Macaca fascicularis: one gene and its partners. The protein of the gene in region 1 interacts with the protein of each later gene in a biochemical or structural test. Links are inferred from orthologs where the notes say so. Each region holds a gene or a part of one and is shown in the gene's direction. Other genes may lie near its edges.

Region 1 (3,993 bases):
TAAAAATATACTGAAGAAATGACACATAAGGATCACAAAATAGGTTGTGGTAAAAATTTAAAAACCTGGCTGGTGATTCTTTTCTCCCCACTTCTTTTATCAAAATAGAATTGCCCTGTAGAATTACATTTCATATTTGACACCCTACCCTGCCCTGAAATAGGGCTGGGATTCTATTCCTGTCTTTTAAAACCTTCGGTTTAAATGGGTCCGATTATTGAATGGATCCTGATTACAATAATCGTACCCATTGAAACCAGAGAAATTTCTAGGCCTCCCTGTTGAAACCAAGTAGGACCTTTCCATACCCGGCCCTCAGAATGTACACGAAGGTGAAAGAACAGTCTAGAAGGATGTCGTTCCCTCAGCCTTGGGTTCCAGCTAAAAAAAAAAAACTGTGTGGGGTTTCCCCCTCACTTTTCCAAATTTAACCTGGACACCAGCTCCTCTGCAGTGTCTCCCCTCGAAAGTTCTCGAGCGTTCCCCAGCTTTAGGGCCGCGCCCGGCCTGAGATCTGCTGAGTCATTGTCCTTGTCCCGCGGCCCGCAGCGGGGGAGGGGCGCGGCACCGGGGAGCCCCCGCGACCGGGCTGGGAAGCTCAGGAAGACTGAGGGGGGCTGAGCAAAGAAAGCCCCGTCATTATCTCAAATGTGACCCAAAAATAAAGACCCGTCCGTCTCGCGGGGTGGGCCAGGGCGGGTCGCGAGGGAGGGGAGGGAGACCCCGACTCTGCGGGAGGCGCTCCGTCCGCGCCCCACGTCCGCCGAACGCGGGGTTCGCGACCCGAGGGGACCGCGGGGGCTGAGGGGAGGGGCCGCGGCTGAGGAACGCGGGCTGCCCACCCGCTCCTGGCGCCGCAGAGTCCGCACCGGGTTTTGGCGCCTCCCGCGGACGCCCCCTCCTCTCGGCGAGCGCCTCCACGTCATGGCCGCAGGGCGCAGCGAGCGCCCTGATTCTTCCGCTTGGGCGCTCAGGACGGCGGCCCGCTGCCCACCAGACTCAGTCCCAGAACCCCAGTCTCAGCAGGAGGACATTTTGGGACGGGACTTGGGTGACTGTAGGGCACTGGTTTTCTTTCCAGAGACCGGAACGGGCGAGCAAAAGTAGTCCCTTCTCGGCGATTCTGCGGAGGAATTTCCTTGGGGCGGTGAACGCCGATGACTATATAAGGACGCGCCGGGTGTGGCGCAGCTAGTTCCGTCGCAGCCGGGAGTGGGATCGCAGTTCTTGTTTGTGTGTCGGTGTCATCGCCACTTGGTGAGCAGAGGGCTGCTGGGCCGGCCATGGCTTTCGTGGCCGCTGGGCCGCTCGGTGGGATGGAGGGGGGCCGACGCCGCGGGATGAGAGGCCGCCGAGGGCTGTAGTCTGGGTCCGCGAGCAAGGTGCCCCGAGCAGCGGGTGGGAGGGGAGCGCAGCAAAATGGCGGCTGTTCCCGGCTCTTGAATGGAAGACGGTTGTGAGGCGGGCTGTGAGGTTGTTGAAACAAGGTGGGGGGCATGGTTTGCGGCAAGAACCCAAGGCCTTGAGGTTTTCGCTAATGCGGGAACGCTCTTATTCTGGTGAGGTGGGCTGGGGCACCATTTGGGGACCTTGATGTGAAGTCTGTCACTGACCGGAGAACTCGCTTTGTCGTCTGTTGCGGGGGCGGCAGTTAATGGCGGTGCCACTTGGCAGTGCACCCGTAGCTTGAGGAGCGCGCGCCCTCGCAGTGTCGTGACGTCATCCGTTCTGTTGGCTCATAATGTGGGGTGGGGCCACCTGCCGGTAGGTGTGCAGTAGGCTTTTCTTCGTCGCAGGACGCAGGGTTGGGGCCTAGGGTAGGCCCTCCTGAGTCGACAGGGGCCTGACCTCTGGTGAGGGGAGGGATAAGTGAGGCGTCAGTTTCTTTGGTCAGTTCTATGTTCCTATTTTCTTAAGTAGCTGAAGTCTGAGTTTTAAACTATGCGTTCGGGGTTGGCGAGTGTATTTTGTGAAGTTTCTTAGGTATCTTTTAAATTGTAATCATTTGGGTGAATATAACATATAGTTTAAGTATTAGGAAGATTAGTACATTGTCTGCTAAATGCTGGTGGTTTTTGGCTCTTTTGTTAGACAATGCAGATCTTCGTGAAGACCCTGACTGGCAAGACCATCACCCTTGAGGTTGAGCCCAGTGACACCATTGAGAATGTCAAGGCAAAGATCCAAGATAAGGAAGGCATTCCTCCCGACCAGCAGAGGCTGATCTTTGCCGGAAAGCAGCTGGAAGATGGGCGCACCCTGTCTGACTACAACATCCAGAAAGAGTCCACCCTGCACCTCGTGCTCCGCCTCAGAGGTGGGATGCAGATCTTCGTGAAGACCCTGACTGGCAAGACCATCACCCTCGAGGTCGAGCCCAGTGACACCATCGAGAACGTCAAAGCAAAGATCCAAGACAAGGAAGGCATCCCTCCTGACCAGCAGAGGTTGATCTTTGCCGGGAAACAGCTGGAAGATGGACGCACCCTGTCTGACTACAACATCCAGAAAGAGTCTACCCTGCACCTGGTGCTCCGCCTCAGAGGTGGGATGCAGATCTTCGTGAAGACCCTCACTGGCAAGACCATCACCCTCGAGGTGGAGCCCAGTGACACCATCGAGAATGTCAAGGCAAAGATCCAGGACAAGGAAGGCATCCCTCCTGACCAGCAGAGGTTGATCTTTGCTGGGAAACAGCTGGAAGATGGGCGCACCCTGTCTGACTACAACATCCAGAAAGAGTCCACCCTGCACCTGGTGCTCCGTCTCAGAGGTGGGATGCAGATCTTCGTGAAGACCCTGACTGGCAAGACCATCACCCTTGAGGTGGAGCCCAGTGACACTATTGAAAATGTCAAGGCAAAGATCCAGGACAAGGAGGGCATCCCTCCTGACCAGCAGAGGTTGATCTTTGCTGGAAAGCAGCTGGAAGATGGGCGCACCCTGTCTGACTACAACATCCAGAAAGAGTCCACCCTGCACCTCGTGCTCCGTCTCAGAGGTGGGATGCAGATATTCGTGAAGACCCTGACTGGCAAGACCATCACCCTCGAGGTGGAGCCCAGCGACACCATTGAGAATGTCAAGGCAAAGATCCAGGATAAGGAAGGCATCCCTCCTGACCAGCAGAGGTTGATCTTTGCTGGGAAACAGCTGGAAGATGGGCGCACCCTGTCTGACTACAACATCCAGAAAGAGTCCACCCTGCACCTGGTGCTCCGCCTCAGAGGTGGGATGCAGATCTTCGTGAAGACCCTCACTGGCAAGACCATCACCCTTGAGGTGGAGCCCAGCGACACCATTGAGAATGTCAAGGCAAAGATCCAGGACAAGGAAGGCATCCCTCCTGACCAGCAGAGGTTGATCTTTGCTGGGAAACAGCTGGAAGATGGGCGCACCCTGTCTGACTACAACATCCAGAAAGAGTCCACCCTGCACCTGGTGCTCCGCCTCAGAGGTGGGATGCAGATCTTCGTGAAGACCCTCACTGGCAAGACCATCACCCTTGAGGTGGAGCCCAGCGACACCATTGAGAATGTCAAGGCAAAGATCCAGGACAAGGAAGGCATCCCTCCTGACCAGCAGAGGTTGATCTTTGCTGGGAAACAGCTGGAAGATGGACGCACCCTGTCTGACTACAACATCCAGAAAGAGTCCACTCTGCACTTGGTCCTGCGCTTGAGGGGGGGTGTCTAAGTTTCCCCTTTTAAGGTTTCAACAAATTTCATTGCACTTTTCTTTCAATAAAGTTGTTGCATTCCCAACTGGTGTGGTTTTTTAAAAGTTAAGGTTATTTTGCATTAGACTGGGTGAAGGGGATCAAGGTTTTCAGTTTACAAATGTTGCTGTGGTAACAGTGAAATGTCAGTGAAGGGGTTGACCTTAATATAGTACGAACTGTAGAAGGTGGGTGCAAATAAAAGCCGGCTTCAAGACCAGATTGGCCAATGTGGTGAAACCCTATGTCTACTGCAAATACAAAAAGGCAGGTGT
Region 2 (3,500 bases), on another chromosome or scaffold:
GGCCCTCCCAGTGGGTCATGGTAGTTTGCATCACCTCTGGCTTGTCTTTTCCTCACGTCCTTTCTCTCCTGTGTTCTCCATGGCCTCCTGGCTCCAGGAATGTGGGGGTTTCACGACCGGGACCTGGTGTTACGGAAAGCTCTCTATACCATGATGAGGACGGGAGCCGAGAGGGAAGCCCTGAAGCGGAGGTGGAGGTGGCAGCAGACGCAGCAGAATAAGGAGGTTGGTATCCACTGGCATGGCCGGAGGCCGGGACCCAGGTCAGGTGTCGCCTCGGGCCATGGTCAAGTCCAGAGCGTGGTCCCTAGACCCCAGACTGTCTTATGAGGGGAGGCAGAAACAGTCCCTGGGATCAGGAAAGTCTCCTGCTTTTAAGCCCATGAAGGAGGAGCCTGTTGAAATAGCAGAGTCCCGGCAGATAGCAACTATGCGTCCACTTGTGTTTCCTTAAGGCATGATTATGAAAGCTGCCTACCTTCATTCCCAAAAGCATCCTGGCTTGGCTGATGAATTATATATATGGCCGCCTGCTGTCAGGTGCAGCCCATGGCTCTAGCCCCTGTGTGTGAGGTCAGTCCAAAGGGATTCCCAATTGTCCCCAAGCATGGTAAACATGAGGACCTTGCTCTTCTAGAAGAATCTGCCTGCTTTCTGACTACAGTTGATCCATTATCCCTTTAAACTTTGTAATGGCCAGCCACAGTTAGGTGCATGCACAGGTTAATGCTCAGTCATCCCCAGCCCCTGAGAATGACCCTTGTTGGTGGGCAGATTCCCAACAGCTCTGGAATTAGAGCTTGGAGCTTTTGAAAATATAGTGTGCATAGCAAAGGTGGCCAAGAGGGTGCAGTTAGTGTAGTTGGTAGCTACCTATAGATGTGCCTGGCCTGGGTCCCAGTGAGGCTGGTCTGGGTTGGGAGGGTGAGAGGAGGAGGGCAGCGCAGCTGTGGCCCGCCCCCCTCTGAGCCAGTTCCCCTCTGCCAGTCAGGGCTGGTGTACACGGAGGAGGAGTGGGAGCGGGAGTGGACGGAGCTGCTGAAGCTGGCCTCCAGTGAGCCGCGCACACACTTCAGCAAGAACGGCGGCACAGGCGGGGGGTAAGTTCTGCCCCTGCTCTTCCCAGAAGTCCCCTCCAGCTCCAGGCCACCCAGGGCTACACACAGCATGGGTGGATGGCACGGGGGGAATGTGGGACCCTCATGCTGTGGAAGACAGAAAGATTCCAGCTTTCCAGCATTAGCTTCAAGACAAGGATGCACAGAAGGACTGTGGGTGATGGCTGGCCCCTGCCGGGTGCTGGTGGAAGGGTACGCAGCCCCCAGATGCACTATGCAGGCAGAGGTGAGCTCACATGAGCTGCCTCCAGGCCACTTTCCTTGAACGTTGTTATGCAGAGCAGGTGAGGTGTGCGCCCTCAGGGCACAGCTGGCCTCTGGAGGTCACACGCGATGGTGAGCGTTCCCACACATTGCCAGCACGCGGACCTGGCTCTGAAGTTTGGATTTTCTCCCCAACTAATTAATTCGTGGCTTCAAGAAGTCACCCTGAAAGCAGAAGCTCATTAAGCTAGCCTGCTGTTTCCCAGATGAGCTCCGTGGATATTATATGTGTTCCCAGCAAAAAGGCTCCACGTCTGTGCGTGTTTAGGACTAGCTTGTTCCTACAGAAACACCTTGGATGTTCTAGCGTGGAATGAAGAGTGCGGCCAGACCAACGGGGCAGCCATAGAGCCTTGATCATGGCTTATTCTTCAGTTCGTATTCTCTGGAACCTGAAAGCAAAGGTGTTGCTCCTAGAAAAGGTCTCAGCCAAACATGAGAAAGTGTGAGCAGTAACACCAGGGAGACCCACGGAAGGAGCATGCAGCTCCAGGCTGCCCTCAGGCTCATGGGCCCTGCAGCAGGCACCTGGGTCCTCATCCACCCACCAAGGCAGGGCCTAGTGCCTCATGGGTCAGCTCTCCCTGGAGGCCCTGGCTGGAAAAGAGGCTCCCACAGAGCTGCAGCAGCAGCGGTGGCGTCTGAGACCATGTTTACAGATGAGATCGTTAGAAACCCACATACGCTGGCACAGCCTTCCTCCATGTTTTAAGGCTATGGTATCTCTGTACCAACAGCCTGTCTTGGTAGGACATTTGAGGACAAGCATTCTGAAGTCTCGGTCAACTGTAAAACTGCTCTTCCTCTGCACGCCTCCCAGGTCCTGCCTGTGATGAGTCTTAAGCATTCCTCCACATCGTTTTCACAGTTGCCTCTCTCCCTCCTGCCACAGGGCAGATGCCTGATACATGCTGGCAGACTGGATCCAGTCCAGGTGTCTCTGCCAGGGACGGGGAGGAGTGGGGAAAGACAGCAGCAATGATAACAGTAATCACAGGTGATCATCACATACACGTCTCCTGAGTACCCCCATCCAGGAGGAGCTTCCCCCAAGGTCCCATGGCTGGTGAACCCATCTGACTCCTAAGGCCACAGCCTGGTCCCCTGCTGCCTGCTCCCTGGGGCCCGAGGGATTCAGATGCTAATGGGGACATAGGGACCACTTGGTGTCTGTCCCTATCTCCCACAGAGTCTGAGTGATCAACTGTAATCTAACAAAAGGATTAGGTCCCTTTAGGAATATCCAAAATGGCCCGGACATTGTCCCATTTAGTAGGATAGCCTGGTCCCCTCCTCCTGGAAGCCACAGTTCTGGTTGCCACATCACAAAAGAGAAGGAAGAACTCGGGGAATGGCCAGAGAGGGGAAACTAAACAACCAAGGGTGGATGGGAGTGACCCCAACAGAAAAGAATGGAGAGGTGAGGTGGGAAGGTATGGGTGGTGTTGGGGAAACAGAAGGAAGGAGGTGAGCACGGGTTGTGTAGGGTGGAGTGGGGTCAGGGAGACCATAAGAGGGACCCGTGCTAGGTCCTCTATCTCCTCCTTTCAAACCCCATCTCACAGGCCTCCAGTACGCCTTCCACAGATTGGAAAACCGAGCCTCAATGGGATTAGACAACTGTTCCAAGACCACAAAAATGATAAATGGAGGAGCCAAAAAGTCAAAATGTGGTCTGATCATTGTAGAGCCTCTTTTGACCAGGCTCCACAGCCCTAACGAAATCCCTCAAATACAGCAGAGTCTGTAGAACCTCAGGCAACACATCAGCCTGCAAATGAAACCACCACTCTGGGCTTCAGATGGTGATGGGAGTGAGGACGCAGCCACCTGGTCCCCACAAAAGCATTGATGCTCAGGTCGGAATCTTGTGCCAATGATGCAGGAGGCACTTCTAGGGTTTCAGCAACAGGTGTTTCCAGTGGAGAAAGAAAAAGGAAAAACAAACAAACAAAAAAAACACCTCAGAAGAGGACAGAACACATGCAATAGGAATCTATCTAAGAGAGTTGCTTCTGTAGCCAGATGCCTCCTTGGGTTACCTGGAACCTTTGCATGGCCAGTCAAGGAGGGAGGCCTATGGAACCAGGCATAAAATGCACATTTTCCTGGGAATAG
Region 3 (3,500 bases), on another chromosome or scaffold:
AAACCTTTGTAATATACTCTTACTTCTTGTCCCTGTCTCTAGTTTCTCTACCCTTCAAGTTGTTCACACAGCTACCTGCATGATCTTTCTAAAGCACAGATCTGACAACGATAACTTCTTGGATTTACAGTTTTTCTTTCTTTTTTTTTTTTTTTTGAGACGGAGTCTCACGCTGTTGCCCAGGCTGGAGTGCAGTGGCGCGATCTTGGCTCACTGCAAGCTCCGCCTCCCGGGTTCCCGCCATTCTCCTGCCTCAGCCTCCTGAGTAGCTGGGACTACAGGCGCCCGCCACCGCGCCCGGCTAATTTTTTGTATTTTTAGTAGAGACGGGGTTTCACTGTGGTCTCGATCTCCTGACCTCGTGATCCGCCCGCCTCGGCCTCCCAAAGTGCTGGGATTACAGGCTTGAGCCACCGCGCCCGGCCGGATTTACAGTTTTTCTTGCTTCCCCACCACATGATGAAATCCAGAATGTGGGCTTAGCAATCAAGATTCCTTACCCTCTGGTGCCTTCCTGTGTATCCAGCATCACCATTCATTACACACCCAGTGCTCTGGCTACATTCAGCTTGTTGTGAAGCAAACCACAGGTTTGCACATTTGTAGTTCCTCCTTCTTGGAATATCCTTTCACTTAGAATACTATTCGGCCTTATTAGTCAGGCGTGGTGGTGTGCGCCTGTAGTCTCAATAACTTGGAAGGCTGAGGCGTGAGAATCGCTTGAACTCAGGAGGCAGAGGTTGTAATGAGCCGAGATCGTACCATCTCACCCCAGCCTGGGCGATGGAGTGACACTGTGTCTCAAAAACAACCCAAAAAAAAGGATCCTATTTATCCTTTAAGACCCAGCCCAAACATCAGTGTTGTAAGGCCCCAACAGACTCCCCCAGCAGATTGAGTTGTTCTTTCCTGTGTTCTCACAGCACTCAATTTTTACTCTCTAATGTAGCAGCTGTCCCATTATGTAGCAGTTGTTTACTTACCTTTTTCTCTGTTCCAGCCTTGAGCTTGTTAGGGAAAAGGAGTAGACTTGATTTCTTTCATGTAGCCCTAGAGCAATTGCTGAATGAGCATGAGAAGATCCCATTTGAAATCTGTAGTGCATGAAGAGCAGTCCATCCTGTAGCTATGTGAGACCTCAGGCTGATTTAGTATATTTAGTCTCTAGTTCTAAAATCTTGAGATCCTCCTGAATTAGTGGAGTAATAACCTTCAGATAAAGAGAAACCTTAGAGAATATCTAGATCATTCTAATCCTTTCTTGAATTGCAGACTCCAGCGGGAGGAAGAAGAGGCCTTTGCCAGCAGTCAGAGCAGCCAAGGGGCCCAATCCCTCACATTCTCCAAGTTTGAAGAAAAGAAAACCAACGAGAAGACCCGCAAGGTTACCACAGTGAAGAAATTCTTCAGTGCGTCTTCCAGGGTCGGATCAAAGAAGGGTAATGTTCTGATACTCTTTTTTTCTTCTCTGCCTGAGTGAGACACAGAGTAGATCCACAATGCTCACAGGCTCAGGTTGTAATTTCTGTCAACTTTTTGAGAACATCAGCTCAGATTTGAGACTGAAAGTGGGTTTGAGGGTCAGACAATATATGAAACCAATACTCTCTTTGGTTGAAAGACATTGTGTTTTAGAGAAATTTGTTTATAGGAGGAATAAAGAGAATTGAAATAGGTAGTTTTGTTTATGAAAGTCATCCCCATCCAAATGACTGTCTCTTTGGATGTTTTGTTTTTTTGTGTCTTTATTTGTGGATCCTGGTTTGTTCTGTGGTGTAATACCCTCACTGTTCACAGCTTGTCAGAAATGGTGATTTCTAGGCTTGAAAGTCATCTGAGAGAGATTTTCTGCTCGAGAGCTTATTTGAGAGACAACTTGTGTCTTGAGAAAGTGTATTGAGAAAATATAGGAAAAGGCCCACGTTGGGCTCCTGGGGGGATGAGAGTGAGCTGTAGTAGCTATTTTCCAGTGCATGGGTTTGTATGTAGGTGATCATATTCACCCTGCTTCTTAAAATGCCATGTAACCAGCAAGAGGATTGTCACGTAAGTCACAGTTGTTCTACGATTGAGCAGCCTAGCCAGTTGAAGTGGCCCAACATGAAGCAGGAAAGAATCTTTGTTGTGAGGCCTCGGTCTCTGAAAATGTATGTTGTTACTCAGAGTTATGCAGTCAGCGTGAAATAATGAGGGAGACTGGGAACCACCACTGATGCTGTCAGAAGACCTGTTCTCTGGGAGCCCCCTCACTTGCTCCCCGGTTCCTGCCCTGGGGTAATTGTAATGAGGTCTTCTCTCCTGGAGGCAACGGAATGAAAAATAAGACAGTGTTACCCCTTAAGATCCTTGCCGGTCTTCTAGGTTTTGTGACTTTTGCTGTTTCCTTTTGTTTTATTAAAAGGAAATATTGCTTATAACCAAAAACACGCTTCTCTTTAAGACATGGATACCAGGCCTGGTGCGGCAGCTCAAGCCTATAATCTCAGCACTTTGGGAGGCCAGGACAGATGGATTTCCTGAGCTCAGGAGTTTTTGAGACCAGCCTGGGCAACATAAAACCCCGTCTCTACAAAAAATAGAAAACCCCGTCTCTACAAAAAATAGAAAAATCATCCAGGCACAGTGGCATATGCCTGTAGTCCCAGCTGAGGCCAGGAGGCTAAGGCAGGAGAATCATTTGAACCCAGGAGGTGGAGGTTGCAGTGAGCCAAAATGGTGCCATTGCACTCCAGCCTGGGTGACAGAGCAAGATCCTGTCTAAAAAAAGGAAAGAAAAGAAAAAAGATGGATTATATGATGAATTTGAAGTTGTTTCTTGGTTGGCTGCCAGTTGTAGCAATTTTGTCTCTATGAAAAACGAGCAAAAAAATTAGTTCCTGCCAGAGATTAAATAAGAATGTATTGGGCTCATGATTTATTTATTAGGAGGTGGAATAGACAGATGGTTAGTAAGGTGACTTTGGAATCACCCCTGGTTTGAGTCCTAACTTTGTCATTTACCAGCTTTGTGACCCTGGGTGGACTAACGACTCCGAGTCCTGTCAACAGTGAGGGACAGTAATACCTACCAGAGGCATGTGATGAGGGTTCAGTGAGTTAATGCGCGTTAAGAGCTTAGCACAGTGCCCGACACACACAGTAGATTTCCAGTAAGTGTTAGCTATTTTAAAATGGAAGTTGTTCTTCTGATAGAATAATCTTGCAGGGAGCACAAAGGCATTTACTATTAAGACTACTCATTCCTATTTAGCTTAAGGTCTGTTTCTTGATGATATGTAGTGAAATAAGTATTTATAGCAGATAAAATAATTTTAAAAATTATAAAATTGGCTGGGCGCAGTGGCTCAAGCCTGTAATCCCAGCACTTTGGGAGGCCGAGACGGGCGGATCACAAGGTCAGGAGATCGAGACCATCCTGGCGAACACAGTGAAACTCCGTCTCTACTAAAAAAAATACAAAAAACTAGCCGGGCGAGGTGGCGGGCGCCTGTAGTCCCAGC
Region 4 (3,500 bases), about 15 Mb from region 1:
TGCTTTCACATTCATGTGCCTTTTCTGTCTGATCTTTTCTAGGGCATGTTTTTTGGTTATTCTTATTAATTATTCAGCTCTCCATCCCTGTCTTTGTTCTTGTCTGGCTAGTTCTCCTTCATGTGTCCTTTACCACCCAGAAGTTACCCTTGTGATGTGTCTGCTTCACTTTCCTGAGCCTTTGAGCACAGGCATTCTGTGTGTATCTCTGTATAACCCTCCATAATCAGGCATGAGAAATGGCATTGCTCACCCAATGTTGTGCATACATAATTTCTATGAATTCTGTAATAATATGTTTTATAAAGGACATTGATGGAATATAGTGCTAATAAGAATACAAATTATTTAAAAATTCCGCATCTTTGGGGAAGATGGCTCAGAGCTTCCTATGTATGGTGGAAAGCTGGTCAGATAGGTGCAAATAGGTAGTCAATAATCAGTATACTGTACGTTTTATCAGATAGCACCTGGGAGGACACACATGAAAGATGATGCATTTTAACATACGAAGCTTCCTTGTTTTTTGCATCTTCCCTGCTTTGTGCTTAGTTATGTCTTTGTTTCCATTAATAGACAACTGGGCAGAGTTGATGGAAGTCAACCACGACGACAAAGTAGTCACCACCGAACACTTCGACCTTTCCCAAGAAATGGAGCGCCTCACTCTGGACTTGATGAAGCCAAAAAGCAGGGAAGTTGAGAGGCGGCTTACAAGCCCAGTCATTAACACCAGCCTCGATACTAAAAATATTGCTTTTGAAAGGTACAAATTTAGACTCTAAATTTTAAGGTCTAATCCCCATGCTGCCATCTTGAGTGACATGTATGTATGAATTGGAAATTATGGATGGATTGGGTTTTTTCTAATATGACATAATAAACACTAGTGGGTTTTAAGATTGATCTCTAACCAATAGAAATTGTAGCTGACACTCGACACCATCCATCATTTTTATAGCACATTAGTTAAGTCTTCTAAGACTTAACCAACATGAAGAATATGAATAAATGTCTTCTTTTTCTTTTATGTGCCCTTTCTAGTGGCTTTTACTTGAATCTTATTTTTGTCTTGATGTTTATGGATCCACAACACTCAGTCCCAGACCACGGAGCTTGGAGTTTCTGGAGGTTAGAATTGACCCAGTACTGAGTTCAGTTGTACTGATATTGGTCAGTCAAATTCACACTTACTATATAGTTAAATGTTCGTTTGGTTTTTTTTTTTTTAACCCACCTGTGAGGTTTAATGGTTTAGAGCAAGAATCTGGAGGGGATTTAGTTCTGTTCCAGACTCATAAAGAATTCTCCAGAGAGGTCTGTGCCTTGGTTAATCCAGATGAGAACACCATCACTGGTCATGTGCCTCTGGGCCACATGGAGGGCTTAGAGGGCCTTTGAGTAGAGGCTGTCAAAGCTGTTTGCCTGTTTCTACAGTGGAGAACACTGACCCGATGGAGTCCTACGAGCACTGATGGTATTTGCCTAGGATGTCACATCCAGCTTTCTGCAAGTCAAAGTAGCTTAGCCTGAGAAAATGGACACTATTATCCTGATAGTATTTGCCTAGGATGCCACATCCGGCTCTCTGCAGCCTAAGTAGCTTAGCCTGAGAAAATGGACACTATTATCCTGGACTTAGGCCTTCTTTTCTCTTGATGAATATAACAACTGTCCTCTCATTATATTTTTCTTTTCTTCTTTTTTCTAATATAAAATTGGTTAGTAAATTTGTTTAGTCAAGCATAAAGCTTGTTAAGTATCCTTTTCTTCTAATTTAGATTGAGCGGTGGAATTAGGACATCTGTCCAGGGCTGTTGCTAGGGCAGGAGGGTAGCATCCCTGGAGGCAGGGTCAGTCCTCTTCTGCCAGCCTCCTTGCACCAGCCTGGCCAGTTGACATTCGCTGTCTTTTGGGGACAGCAAAATTTAGGGACTGACTGGATTTCCCTTGGAGGATTGTGGAAAGACATTTCCAGGCTTCCGTGTACCCCTCTGCAGGCAGGGAGGGCCCCTTCAGCTTAGGGCTCTGTTTGTAACCCCAGAAGGCAGAGGAGGCTGCCTTTTCTGCCACTGTTCATCTGTAGGCATGAGAGGGGGAGGAGCTGAGTGCCATCCACAGGGCTCCTAAATAACTGTGTGACTTTGGGCAAGTGGCCTCATCTCTCCAGTTTTGTTTCCTTAGCTGAAAGAAATAATGGAGTGAATCTGGAGATGAAGTCTCCAAAGTCCGGGACTCTTAAAATGTCTTGAGAAGAGACATTGTTCCTCATATTGTTCAACAGCAGAGTTGCCAGAGTCATTGTTTGTTGAAGTGTGATTTATGAAGAGAGCGTGACAATTCCTGGCTGTTACCCCACTGAGTGTAAATGGGAAATGATAGCATATTCCATTTGTACTGAGGACTAAGGCACATTTTTGTATTTTTGCGCCCACAGGGTTTTCTTCTTTTTTTTTTTTTTTGAGAAGGAGTCTAGCTCTGTCGCCCAGGCTGCAGTGCAGTGGCGCGATCTTGGCTCACTGCAAGCTCCACCTCCTGGGTTCACGCCATTCTCCTGCCTCAGCCTCCGGAGTAGCTGGGACTACAGGCACCCGCCACCACACCTGGCTAATTTTTTTGTATTTTTAGTAGAGGCGGGGTTTCACCGTGTTAACCAGGATGGTCTTGATCTCCTGACCTCGTGATCCGCCATCTCGGCCTCCCAAAGTGCTGGGATTACAGGTGTGAGCCACCGTGCCCAGCCCCAGAGCCCACAGGGTTTTCAGAGTGCTCAAGCTAACTCTCTTGCAACTGACAGTGTGTTGTTGAGAGAATTTTTGGAAGATAGCTGCTTTGTTTTAATGGGGCTCAGAATTAAATGTGTGCTTGTCATGCATTGAGCAAGAATTGAGCCAATCCTTAGAATTGATACCACCTACAAAAAGAATATAGCTGCTTTTGAATGTGAGGTTTGTTGGTACAAAGAGTGTGTGAATTTACTTCTGATCAGAGGTGTGAGTATTCATTTGATTGAATTTGGAAGGTGTGGCCTTCTCTCATTTTCTTTTCTTTCTTTTTTTTCTTTTTTTTTTTTGAGATGGCTTCTCGCTCTGTCGCCCAGCCTGGAGTGCAATGGCATGATCTCGGCTCACTGCAACCTCCGCCTCCCGGGTTCAAGCAATTCTCATACCTCAGTCTCCTGAGGAGGTGGGATTACAGGCACCCTCCTTTGTGCCCAGCTAATTTTTGTATTTTCCTAGAGATGGGGTTTCGCCATGTTGGCCAGGCTGGTATTGAACTCCTGACCTCAGGTGACCCGACTACTTTGGCCTCCCAAAGTTCTGGGATTACAGGCATGAGCCACCACACCCAGCCCCCTCTCTCATTTTTTGATGGTCACTTTTGTCCACTTTTTTCTAACCTGTTACTCAGAGCTTATGTGGGCAAATTAATACCCTGCCCTGATGAATGTTTGGCCTGCAGTATATACACTGTGGTTGCAGTTTGAATTTTTCCCTTCT
Region 5 (4,261 bases), on another chromosome or scaffold:
AATAGTGCAAATGGATCCAGTTCTTAAGTTCTCCCTCCCACAAAATCCTGTCTCCTCCCCGTCCCAGACATATTCCTAGCACCTCTTCTTCCGCAAGGGCCCATCCTCTCATAAATACTAGCCGGTGTTTGTTTGTTTGTTTTTGAGACAGTGTTGTTCTGTCGCCGAGGCTGGAGTGCAATGGCGCGATCTAGGCTCACCGCAACCTCCGCTTCCCTGGTTCAAGCGATTCTCCTGCCTCAGCCTCCTGAGTAGCTGGCGCGCACCACCACGCCCGGGTAATTTTTGTATTTTTAGTAGAGACGGGGTTTCACCATGTTGGTCAGGCTGGTCTCGAACTCCTGACCTCGTGATCCGTCCGCCTTGGCCTCTCAAAGTGCTGGGATTACAGGCATGAGGCACCGTCCCCGGCAACCAGCTGATGTTCTTATACACATGGTGTCCCCCTCAAGGCACATTTCAGTTCCTATCCCGAGGATTCCCCCTCGGACACACGGTGCCCCCTACCTGATCCTTAGTGCTTCCCTCGCGACCTACAAATTGCCCCCTTCCCCAGGGGGTTCACAACTCCTTACGCCTCTCAGGTTCCGCGCCCCCCACCCCGCCTAAAGAATACCCATCTGCCTGCTTCGGAAGTTCACTCTCCCCCGCCTGTCCCCCGGAGCATCTCTTGGGCCCCTGTCCCTTTTCCGGGGCTCTTCTACCTTTACCCAGAGCAGAGGGTGCAGGCCTCCTGAGCCCAGGGGCCCAGTTATCTGAGAAACCCCACGGCCTGTCCCCCGTCCAGAAAGTCTCAGCGAGCTCACGCCGCTCAGTCACGTTTTTGTTTTTCCTACATTGCAGATGAGGCTCCCAGTGTTGACGTTGGCCAGGGGCTTTGCAAACAAGCCAGGCCAAAAATGTTCAACATTTACACCGGCTGCTTAAATGAGGGCATTGATCTTACTCTCCGTGACGGTCACCTCATCGTCGGGCAGAATGAAGGCAGAGTAGATGCAAGCGAGCTCGGAGACGTAGGCCATGGCGCGGGCGAGTGTGGGGCTGGGGCCGCCAGACGGGGTGCTAGTTGCCGGAAGAGGTGAGGGCCCCACCCCAACGCGGCCTTAACTTCCTCGGAAGGACCGAGCACCTTGGCGGCAGCGAGGAAAGGGGTTCCACAGTTTTAATTTACCTGTAATTCCCACGCTTTACCGTTGCCACGGAAACCGCTGAGCAACAGCCTCTCAGAATAGGAAATCAAGACACAGAGGAAGGGCGGGACAGAAAGAGCCTATCGTCTCTCGGGGCTCTGGATTGGCCACCCAGTCTGCCCCGGGTGACGTAAAAAGAAAGAGACGGAAGAGGAAGAATTCTACCTGAGTTTGCCATAAAGCGCCCGCCCTCTCGCCTTTACGCTTCCAGTTGCGACTTATTACGTCACAGTAATCGCTGTACAAAGATCAGAATCGCTACCCGAGGCCTGAATATGAGTGTAAGATAGTGTTCAAAGCAGTCGTAGGAAGAGGTCCCATTCCCCCACTCTTTCCGCCCTAATGGAGGTCTCCAGTTTAGGTAAATAAAAGGATTGTTGGGGGTGGAGGGAAAGAACTACTATTTCTAGCATGCGTTGCGGAATGAAAGGCCTTCGCCACGCTGTTCCTTGGAAACTGTAGTCTTATGGAGAGGAACATCCAATACCGAAGCGGGCACAATTCTCACGGAAATCCAGTGGATAGATTGGAGACCTCCGCGCGCTTATACATGTCAACAGTTGTGGATTGGAGTGTTGTTATGTTTTCGTATCTTGAGAGCAGAGACTAGGCCAAAGAGATACCGACAACTCCTAGAAAGACTACAATTCCCATCCAGCCCCACGAGTCTTGGGCAAGTCGTCCTGTAAGGTCAGTGACCTGCGGGGGACGCAATAGGCGCCGAATTTGCCTAGGGAAGGGGAAATCCGCTCTGGCTCACGTCTGCGCACTCGTAGTTCCGCCCCTCGGCCCCAATGTTTGTTATTGTTGTGCGGCTTCAGGTTTCTTCTGCCCCGCCCCGTCGACGCAATCTCCACCAATCGATGGGGTGGTCGTTTTGAGGGACAAGTGGTAAGAGCCAATCATCTTGGCGAAAACTCGGCGAAACAGGGGACTAGTTACTGTCTTTATCCGCCATGTTAGATTCACCCCACAGGGATAGCGGCAGAGCTGGCAGCGGACGGTCCTTGCCTTGGCCTACGGCAGGCGCCCCCCGGGGGCGGGAAGCTGGTAAGGAAGCGGCTGAGGTTACTTAGGGGTGGGGTCACGTCACACTGAGAGGGTTTGGGGAAGTTCAAGGGAGGAATCCTGCAAAGAAGAGGGGCGACTTTTTCCGTGTCTCGGGACAGTTAATGTTTTTAGTGACAGGATGAGAGAGCCCTTCGTGTTCAGAGGGACCGAGTGGGCGAAAAGCGCCGGAGAGTTGGAGAGTCCGTGGTTCAGAACATCGGCTTCTACCTATGGAAGGCCGCGACTCCCCAGTGGAATGAGGGCCTGGGCAAAGAAAACGAGAGAAAGTCGGGGTGGTGACACTGTCTTGGGAACATTGAGTGCTATGAAACGATAGCTGGAAGACTAGGATGAACTCTGCAAGTTAAAAAATGACACTACTTACACATCCTTTTCATTCCATCCTCCTTTTTTCGAGACCTTAAAGAGATCTCCTTGGTTAGGGACCTTCGGTTTTGGAAAGGCACTGTTTTTCCTTTTTGTCAAACACCCAGCTTTTAGAGCACACTTTTTTTTTTTTTTTTTTTTTGAGACAGAGTCTTGCTTTCTCAGAGAAAGACCAGCCCAGGCTGGTCGTGAACTCCTGAGCTCAAGCGATCCTCCTGCCTCGGCCTTCCAAAGTGCTGGTATTACAGGCATGAGCCACCACTCCCAGCCTCAAATCACACATTTTAAAGCTTGGATAACTTGGCTTGTACAGACCTCTGGTGGAGACAGAAATCAAAGCTCAGGTTGCCAGGTCTGTTTCATTAAAGGGATTTTGTTGAGGGTGAAAAAAAAATCGACGTGGAGGAAAAGTTAACTCGTGCCAAGCAAAGGTGAGTCAGTGGCGTGGACTTACAATAATGCCAGTTATGAAAGCTGAAGGCCTAGGACCCAGCTATCTGACTATACTGGCTTTAGACCTAAGGGTGAGATAGGGTTAACCATAGCTTTGGTGTTTACACACGTTCAAGATTAACGCTCTTGCTGAAAGAATTTTTTTACATGTCAGCGGAAGAGAGTTCCTTATGAAGACCTGGATATGATCCAGCTAAGCTAGAATCTCTGACTTCCTGTTTTCTCTTAGTTGGCCCACTAGCTGGAGGAGCTCCAGAGTATCTAAATTGATTTCCAATTGTGTAATTTGAGAAAAAGAGAGGAAGATTCATTTCCTTCACAAGCAGGGAAGTGTGTTTCTTGAAGCTGGAAAGTGATGTTTCAGAATATCCACTTCTGGCAGACAGAGTTACTTCGTTTCCCTGATTTTTTGCCTAAGGTCTTGGGGAATTGACAAAGGTTCTGTTCAAATTTTAAAGACCCCAATAATTACATGTCGTATGAATGAATACTAGATGTCAGCAGGATTGTTGTTAAGAGACTAGTATTATTTTGCTGGTGAACTTGGTTCTTGGTAGAAACAAAGAATGGAGAAAATTGGGGGATAATTGTCTTAGGGTTTCAAAAAAGTGCCTGATCTTGACAGAGTTCAGGGTCCTTTAAATGACAGTCTTAATTGGAGTGTTTTACCGGGCAGTGCGTTACATTGTGGAAAACACTACAGGTTTATGGTTCTAAAGACTGGTTTATTATCTTTTAGAATGTTTAATTGAACTTAATTTTTTTAAGGAGATGGAGTCTGGCTTTGTTGCCCAGGCTGGTCTTGGAACTCCTAGGCTCATGATCCTTCTGCCTCAGCCTCCCTAAGTGCTAGGATCACCAGCATCAGCCACCACACCTAGCCAGTTTTTTATTTTATTTTATTTTTGAGACAGAGTCTAGCTCTATCACCCAGGCGGAAGTGCAGTGACATGAGCTTGGCTCACTGCAATCTTGCCTCCCAGGTTCAAGCAATTCTCCTGCCTCAGCCTCCTGAGTAGCTGGGATTACAGACCTGCGCCACTACACACAGCTAATTTTTGTATTTTTGTAGAGATGAGGTTTCACTATGTTGGCTAGGCTGGTCTCAAACTGCTGGACTCAAACGATCTGCCTGCCTCTGCTTCCCAAAGTGCTGGGATTACAGACATGAGCCACTGTGC
Region 6 (3,500 bases), on another chromosome or scaffold:
AACACTAGCTGGGCGCTTCTCAACACAGCCCTGTGAAGTAGGGAGTCTGCAGCTACTGCCTGACGTTGTAAACATTGGAGAGCTCCAAGGTAAGGTGGTTAAGCCATCCTCCCTCCAGGGACAAGAGGAGCTCTCTGGGCCCAGGTATGTGAGGAGAGGCTGGGGACACTCACAATGACCTCCATGATGGGCCAGCCACCACCCCTTTCTGATGCCCATTCAGGGTTCTGGGTGAGAGGCTGATCCTCTCAGGGGGAGCCACACACACAGAGGAAGCCGTGGCAGAGTTGATATATGGTTTCACTCCCTAGCCCCCAACTAGGACTGGCTGGTCTTGGTCCCAGAGGTTCTTCATAGGACTAGTGAGCACCCCACAGGCCCATATCACAGGCATCCTCTCTCCTTACTTCTGCTTTCCCTTCCCCCGTTAGGTTCGAACGATACAGGTCTGGCCGATCGGTTCAAAATGCCAGTAATGGAGTAAGTATTCCTTCAGAATCCTCTCATCTCCTGAGGCCAGACCTACCCCTCCACGTTTTGGAGGTTGGAGAGACCTCCAGTTTTTCTAACTGGGGTTGAAATATTTGGGAAATTGAAGAGCAAGCTTTGGTTGATGGGATACTAGGGCAGAGCTAGCAGGCACCCCTGATGGGAGGGTGGCAAGGAAGCTCTTAAGTCTGTAGCTCCCAGGACAGTCACTGTTGACTCAGCAACCCCTCCTTCTACTGGGGAGGGGGAAGAGGCAGTGGGCAGGGCTCACTGACATCAAGGGCCACCATGGACCCGGAAGGCAGATGGGGAAAGTGACCTTGCTTCTGTACTGGAGCAGTGCCGATGCTTTTCTTCTCAGAACCCTGCACAGTTGCCTTGCTAGCTTCTACCTCAGAGCCTGACTCCAGGGTTCTGGGGCTCATGACCAATCTCACATTCTGACAGGTACTGAACGAAGTGACTGAAGACAACTTAATAGACCTGGGGCCAGGGTCTCCAGCCGTGGTGAGCCCGATGGTGGGGAACACAGCGCCCCCATCTTCCCTCTCCTCCCAGCTTGCAGGCTTGGGTGAGTGTCTCATAGGGACAAAAGGGCCTACTTACTTCCTACCACTGGCCTCCCTTGCAGGCTACCTCTCTTTCTTTCTTGGAAGACCCAAAGAGAGTCTTTTGGGAATACATGTGAAAGTGTATTCCTGAGTCCTAGCCAGTTGTACCACCTTACCTTCAATGCATACCTTTTTTTCCCCTAAATTTGAAGTTTAAAATCTGTGTTGGAAAGCAGGGATGGGGGAAATTTCAAGGAATTAAAGAAAGGTCACGGCCGGGTGTGGCGGCTCATACCTGTAATCCCAGCACTATGGGAGGCCGAGGTGGGTGGATCACCTGAGGTCAGGAGTTTGAGACCAGCCTGACCAACGTGGCGAAACCAGTCTCTAGTAAAAATACAAAAATTAGCTGGGCATGGTGAGTGCCTGCAATTCCAACTACTTGGAAGGCTGAGGCAGGAGAATTGCTTGAGCCTGGGAGGTGGAGGTTGCAGTGAGCTGAGATCGCGCGTCATTGTACTCCAGCCTGGGCGACAGAGCAAGACACTGTCTCAAAAAAAAAAAAAAGAAAAGAAAGGTCACCTGCCATGTTTTATATGGAACATTCTCTATGATTGAAGTAATTTCCTTTTCAGTATTAACTAGGTCAAGCCCGGGCTTATAATCCCAGCATTTTGGGAGGCTGAGGTTGGTGGGTCACTTGAGGCCAGGAGTTCGAGACCAGCTTGGCCAAAGTAGTGAAACCCTGTCTCTACTGAAGATACAAAAAAATTAGCCAGACTTAGTGGTGGGTACCTGTAGTCCCAGCTACTTGGGCGGCTGAGGCAGGAGAATTGCTTGAACCCCGGAGGCTGAGGTTGCAGTGAGCTGAGATCGCGCCATTGCACTCCAGCCTGGGGGACGACTCCATCTCAAAAACAAAACAAAGCCGGGCGCGGTGGCTCAAGCCTGTAATCCCAGCACTTTGGGAGGGCGAGGCGGGCGGATCACAAGGTCAGGAGATCGAGACCACAGTGAAACCCCGTCTCTACTAAAAATACAAAAAATTAGCCGGGCGCGGTGGCGGGCGCCTATAGTCCTAGCTACTCAGGAGGCTGAGGCAGGAGAATGGCGTGAACCCAGGAGGCGGAGCTTGCAGTGAGCCGAGATCGCGCCACTGCACTCCAGCCTGGGCAACAGCGTGAGACTCCGTCTCAAAAAAAAAAAACAAAAAAACAAAAAAACAAAAAAAACCAAACAATCAATATTAACTAGGTCAAGGAGGGCAGATAGGTTTCAGCTCACTGGCTTCTTGGAACACAGGTTTGAGGAGGATGCTGAAGCCACATCAGGGCTTAGAAAAGTCTGTGATTGGCCGGGCGCGGTGGCTCAAGCCTGTAATCCCAGCACTTTGGGAGGCCGAGACGGGCGGATCACGAGGTCAGGAGATCGAGACCATCCTGGCTAACACGGTGAAACCCCGTCTCTACTAAAAAATACAAAAAAAAAAAAAAAACTAGCCGGGCGACGTGGCGGGCGCCTGTAGTCCCAGCTACTCGGGAGGCTGAGGCAGGAGAATAGCGTGAACCCGGGAGGCGGAGCTTGCAGTGAGCTGAGATCCGGCCACTGCACTCCAGCCCGAGCGACAGAGCGAGACTCCGTCTCAAAAAAAAAAAAAAGAAAAGTCTGTGATTGATTGTTGATATCTACAGAGGGCTTGGAAACAGGAGGTAGCAGCACTGAAATATTTGCTCTCCTTGAACTGTACCATCAGCCTAAAGCAGTCCATTGTCTGGAACTTAAAAGAAACTCACCACTTTCTACTTTCCACAGTTCATTTAGTTTGTACATTCAAAGTGTGTATATGACTCTAGCGCATTGGTTATACTGAATGATACCAATTTATAACAAATGAAATTATAACATTGAAAGAATAAGCACAGCCCTCAAAATTCTTTCCTCTGTCTTGTTTTCTGCTTTCCTTTTTAAAAAATATTTCTCGGCCGGGTGCGGTGGCTCAAGCCTGTAATCCCAGCACTTTGGGAGGCCGAGACGGGTGGATCATGAGGTCAGGAGATCGAGACCATCCTGGCTAACACCGTGAAACCCCGTCTCTACTAAAAAATACAAAAAACTAGCCGGGCGAGGTGGCGGGCGCCTGTAGTCCCGGCTACTCGGGAGGCTGAGGCAGGAGAATGGCGTAAAAACCCGGGAGGCAGAGCTTGCAGTGAGCTGAGATCCGGCCACTGCACTCCAGCCTGGGCGACACAGTGAGACTCCGTCTCAAAAAAAAAACAAACAAACAAACAAAAAAAAACACAAAAAACTAGCCGGGCGAGGTGGCGGGCGCCTGTAGTCCCAGCTACTCGGGAGGCTGAGGCAGAAGAATGGCCTGAACCCGGGAGGCAGAGCTTGCAGTGAGCCGAGATCTGGCCACTGCACTCCAGCCTGGGTGACAGAGCAAGACTCCGTCTCAAAAAA
Region 7 (3,500 bases), on another chromosome or scaffold:
GTTAAAACTATAATCTTGTGATAGTGTTACTGCCATTAAATGGATGTTTTTGAATATCAGACTGTTTTTGGAGAACAGGTTAGATATTATGGCTTATATATTTCAAAACCAATAAATACAATAGTTTCATTTCTGATTGCAAATTAAGCTGTTTTTTAGTCTGTATGTATAGCCAGATAGGCTTATCTGATACTGTTGTAGGAGCTGGGGATAAACATTAAACAAGACATTCAGCCCCTGCCCTCTTGGAGCTTACATTCTAGGAATATTTATTCATTGAAAATAAAAGGTTTGATGTGTCTGTATTCTGTTTCAAAAATAATATGTTCACAGGGTATTACTAGAACTGTCTCCTGTCTGATTTCAGCATGTCTGAGTGGAGTAACATGCTATAGAGTTTGTCATTAGCGCACATTCACTTGTTTGTGGTATTTGCCTTTTGTCATCTTTTGTTAAAATATGAGATAGTGATGTTAACATAAGCAGGTTAGAATCACAGTAAATGTCTGAGCGTGTATTATGTGTAGTTCACTGTGATGGGACTGGAGATTCAGATGGGGAATAAGGTAACCATCCTTCTTCTCAACGGCCTTACAGTGTAGTTGGGGAAATGAGGCACATATAGGTAAGTAATTCAGTTCAACAGATCCTTATTGTTGAGTGCCTGCTATGTGGTTGGAAACACTGGGATAGGCACTGATAATGGGATAAATAGGACAGATGTCTCCCCTCAAAGAATTCGAAGTTAAACCAGGTTGAGCCAGTGAGGGAATTTTAATACGAAAAGTGCTATACGTAGTAGGGTTTCCCACCCCAAAGTTGTGGGAGAGGCAGTGGAGGAAGAGCTGATTATATAAGCTTAAACAAGAAAAACAAGTTAAGAGTTAGCCTGGTAAAAAGAGGGACAGAAGGGGCATAGAAAGAGTATTTTGTATGGAAAGCATAACTTACCCAAGAGCCCAGAGGCAAAAGAGAGTTTGATATGTCCAGGGAAACTGCAAGTACTTCCGTATGGCTAAATCATGGGGTACCGTTGAGAAATAGTGAGAGATGAGGCCAGAGAAAGAAGGATGAAGAAAATCATGAAAGACCTCTGGGCTTTATCCTGGGAGTTAGTTGGGAGCCATTGAAGAATTCTAAACATCAGAGGGAACACCATTAGATTTTCACTTAAGGCAGATGATTGCGTGCAATGTGTGAAGCATGGATTGAAGAGGGAACTCGTGAGGTACCCGGTGTTTGGAAAAGGTGTTAAGGAAAATCAGAGTGAGAAGCTACAGAGAATTGAGACAAGGAAAGGGTATTTGACCTTGATCTTGAAAAAGAAGAGGACCTAGATCAAATGGGGGAAAAAAAGGAAACCCTTTGGAATAGATTATAAGAAGTGTGAGCAAAGGTACATGGCATATTCCCAGTGTAGATTAATGGAGAGTGGATTCCTGGGGAAAGTCTGGCTGGTGATGAAACTGAAGAGGTTAAGAATTTGATCCATGGCAAATTCCACCATTTTAGAGCAAAATGACATGTCTGCAAGGTCATATTACGTGATTCTGACTCGCAGCAGCATTTATGAGGGCCAGAGTGGTTAGCAACGGGAGGGAGTCATGTTAAGATTTCAGAGTAGTAATTTAACCCGAATCTTGGTAAATCTGGCTTTGGTTTCCATACATAAATGCATCAACTTATTATCTTACAACATTTTAAAGCTTCTTTGCTTCAATTTGCCTTATTTCAAACATTTAAAGTGCTTTATGTGAAACATTCTGGGAACTTTAAACATACTTAATATTCCACAGAATCTTGGTTTCACCTTTTCCCTCCTTGTTCTCTGAGAAACCTATGTCATTCTGACCCATGCATATGGCTATTTTCTTGCACACTCCCTTAGAATATTCAAGTAGTATTTGTTTATGTGCCTTTTATTGATTAAATATGTAGTTACTAGAAAAATTAGAAAATACAGTTAAAGCCGGGCGCGGTGGCTCAAGCCTGTAATCCCAGCACTTTGGGAGGCCGAGACGGGCGGATCACAAGGTCAGGAGATCGAGACCATCCTGGCTGACACGGTGAAACCCCGTCTCTACTAAAAAATACAAAAACCTAGCCGGGCGAGGTGGCGGGCGTCTGTAGTCCCAGCTACTCGGGAGGCTGAGGCAGGAGAATGGCGTGAACCCGGGAGGCGGAGCTTGCAGTGAGCTGAGATCCGGCCACTGCACTCCAGTCTGGGCGACAAAGCGAGACTGTCTCAACAAAAAAAAAAAAAAAAAAAAAAAAAAAAAAAGAAAATACAGTTAAAACCTAAAGAAGAAAGTCTATAAAACCACTGTCAATATATCATTACATGTTCTAGATTATTTTCTAGATAGAAATACATTATTTATGCATTTTCTATACATAAATTTAACAAAAAGGGGTCCTATTTTTGTAAACAACTTTGTAATTAAATGACTAGTTTTCTGTGCTAATTAATTCCTCAGTATCCTCTAAATAATAGACTAGGGAGGGTGGGATGAGGAATAGCAAAATCTTACAGAATAATTAAATTTTGCCACCTTCCTATTTTTGTCAGCTTCAGTATCAGACACGGCACAGCAGCCATCTGAAGAGCAAAGCAAGTCTCTTGAAAAACCAAAACAAAAAAAGAATCGCTGTTTCATGTGCAGGAAGAAAGTGGGACTTACTGGTAAGGACCTAAATCAAATGTTTAAAATTAAGATACTGTTTTATAGTAATGCATAGCTTACTATTATTGACTTCAATTAAGATTGTTCCTTTTCCCTTGAGAGCTAATACTGGCTATACTTCAGCTTCTGAATTTTCTTAAGGAAATAAAAATAGCTTTGATTATACACCTAAAAGTGAAATGAATAGCTTTTTTTTTTCTTTTTAAAGTTTATTTCAGTTGAATTTAGAAATATTAGACAAGTAAGGTTAGTGTGCCAGATTCTGTGAAAGGTCAAAGATGTGTCTCTTGCTTTCAAGGAGAGAATATTTTGAAGTACTTAGTAAACTGGAAGTACTTTCTGTATATAAAATAGGGCTAACCATACATTGTTGTGTGGGTTCAGTGAGTTAAGACATGTAAGCAGTTAGCCCAGCCCAGTGCTGCCACACAGTAAGTAATCAGTATTAACATAGCTATCAGATGCAGATGGTGGTGGGCAGGAGAAAGAATTGTTCAAAAGCATTTAGCAAAGAAAGTACATGAAGTGCAGTCACATTGCTCTGGGAATTCAGGGATGAGAGTAACTAATTTACAATTAAAAATGGTGGTTCTTAGAGGCCCAGCAAGGAAAGGATCATGAAGGCAGAATGTTTCAGCGTGTCTTGAACAGTGAGTAGGACCTATAACTGATGGAAATAGGGGCATTTCAGGCAGAAAGAATAACTTGAAGAAAATGAATAGGGCATGTGCAGGAACCATAAACGGGAATGTTGCTAAATAGCACATAATACGTGAACAAGAGTGTTGTGTACTGCAATCCAACAGGAATAAAGAA

What was found.
Region 2: the proteins of UBC (region 1) and OTUD7A form a complex in vitro, tested with the Homo sapiens proteins (3 studies listed by BioGRID, with this or other methods). The link is inferred for Macaca fascicularis from reciprocal best matches to the Homo sapiens genes UBC and OTUD7A.
Region 3: the proteins of UBC (region 1) and RABGEF1 form a complex in vitro, tested with the Homo sapiens proteins (10 studies listed by BioGRID, with this or other methods). The link is inferred for Macaca fascicularis from reciprocal best matches to the Homo sapiens genes UBC and RABGEF1.
Region 4: the proteins of UBC (region 1) and ANKRD13A form a complex in vitro, tested with the Homo sapiens proteins (4 studies listed by BioGRID). The link is inferred for Macaca fascicularis from reciprocal best matches to the Homo sapiens genes UBC and ANKRD13A.
Region 5: the proteins of UBC (region 1) and NBR1 form a complex in vitro, tested with the Homo sapiens proteins (8 studies listed by BioGRID and IntAct, with this or other methods). The link is inferred for Macaca fascicularis from reciprocal best matches to the Homo sapiens genes UBC and NBR1.
Region 6: the proteins of UBC (region 1) and TOM1L2 form a complex in vitro, tested with the Homo sapiens proteins (6 studies listed by BioGRID). The link is inferred for Macaca fascicularis from reciprocal best matches to the Homo sapiens genes UBC and TOM1L2.
Region 7: the proteins of UBC (region 1) and ZFAND6 form a complex in vitro, tested with the Homo sapiens proteins (6 studies listed by BioGRID, with this or other methods). The link is inferred for Macaca fascicularis from reciprocal best matches to the Homo sapiens genes UBC and ZFAND6.

The regions. Positions count from the first base shown.
Region 1 is NC_088385.1:132,077,541-132,081,533, reverse strand, and holds UBC (polyubiquitin-C), read left to right. Parts: upstream 1-1,193; 5' UTR 1,194-1,257; intron 1,258-2,091; 5' UTR 2,092-2,094; coding exon 2,095-3,696; 3' UTR 3,697-3,764; downstream 3,765-3,993.
Region 2 is NC_088381.1:6,700,595-6,704,094, forward strand, and holds part of OTUD7A (OTU domain-containing protein 7A), read left to right. Parts: intron 1-97; coding exon 98-225; intron 226-987; coding exon 988-1,100; intron 1,101-3,500. UniProt on the Homo sapiens protein: Deubiquitinase, which cleaves 'Lys-11'-linked polyubiquitin chains. Might be required for PA28-20S proteasome assembly.
Region 3 is NC_088377.1:59,759,492-59,762,991, reverse strand, and holds part of RABGEF1 (rab5 GDP/GTP exchange factor), read left to right. Parts: intron 1-1,272; coding exon 1,273-1,439; intron 1,440-3,500. UniProt on the Homo sapiens protein: Rab effector protein acting as linker between gamma-adaptin, RAB4A or RAB5A. Involved in endocytic membrane fusion and membrane trafficking of recycling endosomes. Stimulates nucleotide exchange on RAB5A. Can act as a ubiquitin ligase.
Region 4 is NC_088385.1:116,893,887-116,897,386, forward strand, and holds part of ANKRD13A (ankyrin repeat domain-containing protein 13A), read left to right. Parts: intron 1-576; coding exon 577-766; intron 767-3,500. UniProt on the Homo sapiens protein: Ubiquitin-binding protein that specifically recognizes and binds 'Lys-63'-linked ubiquitin. Does not bind 'Lys-48'-linked ubiquitin.
Region 5 is NC_088390.1:64,214,555-64,218,815, forward strand, and holds the start of NBR1 (next to BRCA1 gene 1 protein), read left to right. Parts: upstream 1-1,461; 5' UTR 1,462-1,880; intron 1,881-2,139; exon of another isoform or gene 2,140-2,240; intron 2,241-4,261. UniProt on the Homo sapiens protein: Ubiquitin-binding autophagy adapter that participates in different processes including host defense or intracellular homeostasis.
Region 6 is NC_088390.1:17,971,930-17,975,429, reverse strand, and holds part of TOM1L2 (TOM1-like protein 2), read left to right. Parts: intron 1-431; coding exon 432-480; intron 481-936; coding exon 937-1,060; intron 1,061-3,500. UniProt on the Homo sapiens protein: Acts as a MYO6/Myosin VI adapter protein that targets myosin VI to endocytic structures. May also play a role in recruiting clathrin to endosomes. May regulate growth factor-induced mitogenic signaling.
Region 7 is NC_088381.1:57,557,027-57,560,526, forward strand, and holds part of ZFAND6 (AN1-type zinc finger protein 6), read left to right. Parts: intron 1-2,569; coding exon 2,570-2,683; intron 2,684-3,500. UniProt on the Homo sapiens protein: Involved in regulation of TNF-alpha induced NF-kappa-B activation and apoptosis. Involved in modulation of 'Lys-48'-linked polyubiquitination status of TRAF2 and decreases association of TRAF2 with RIPK1.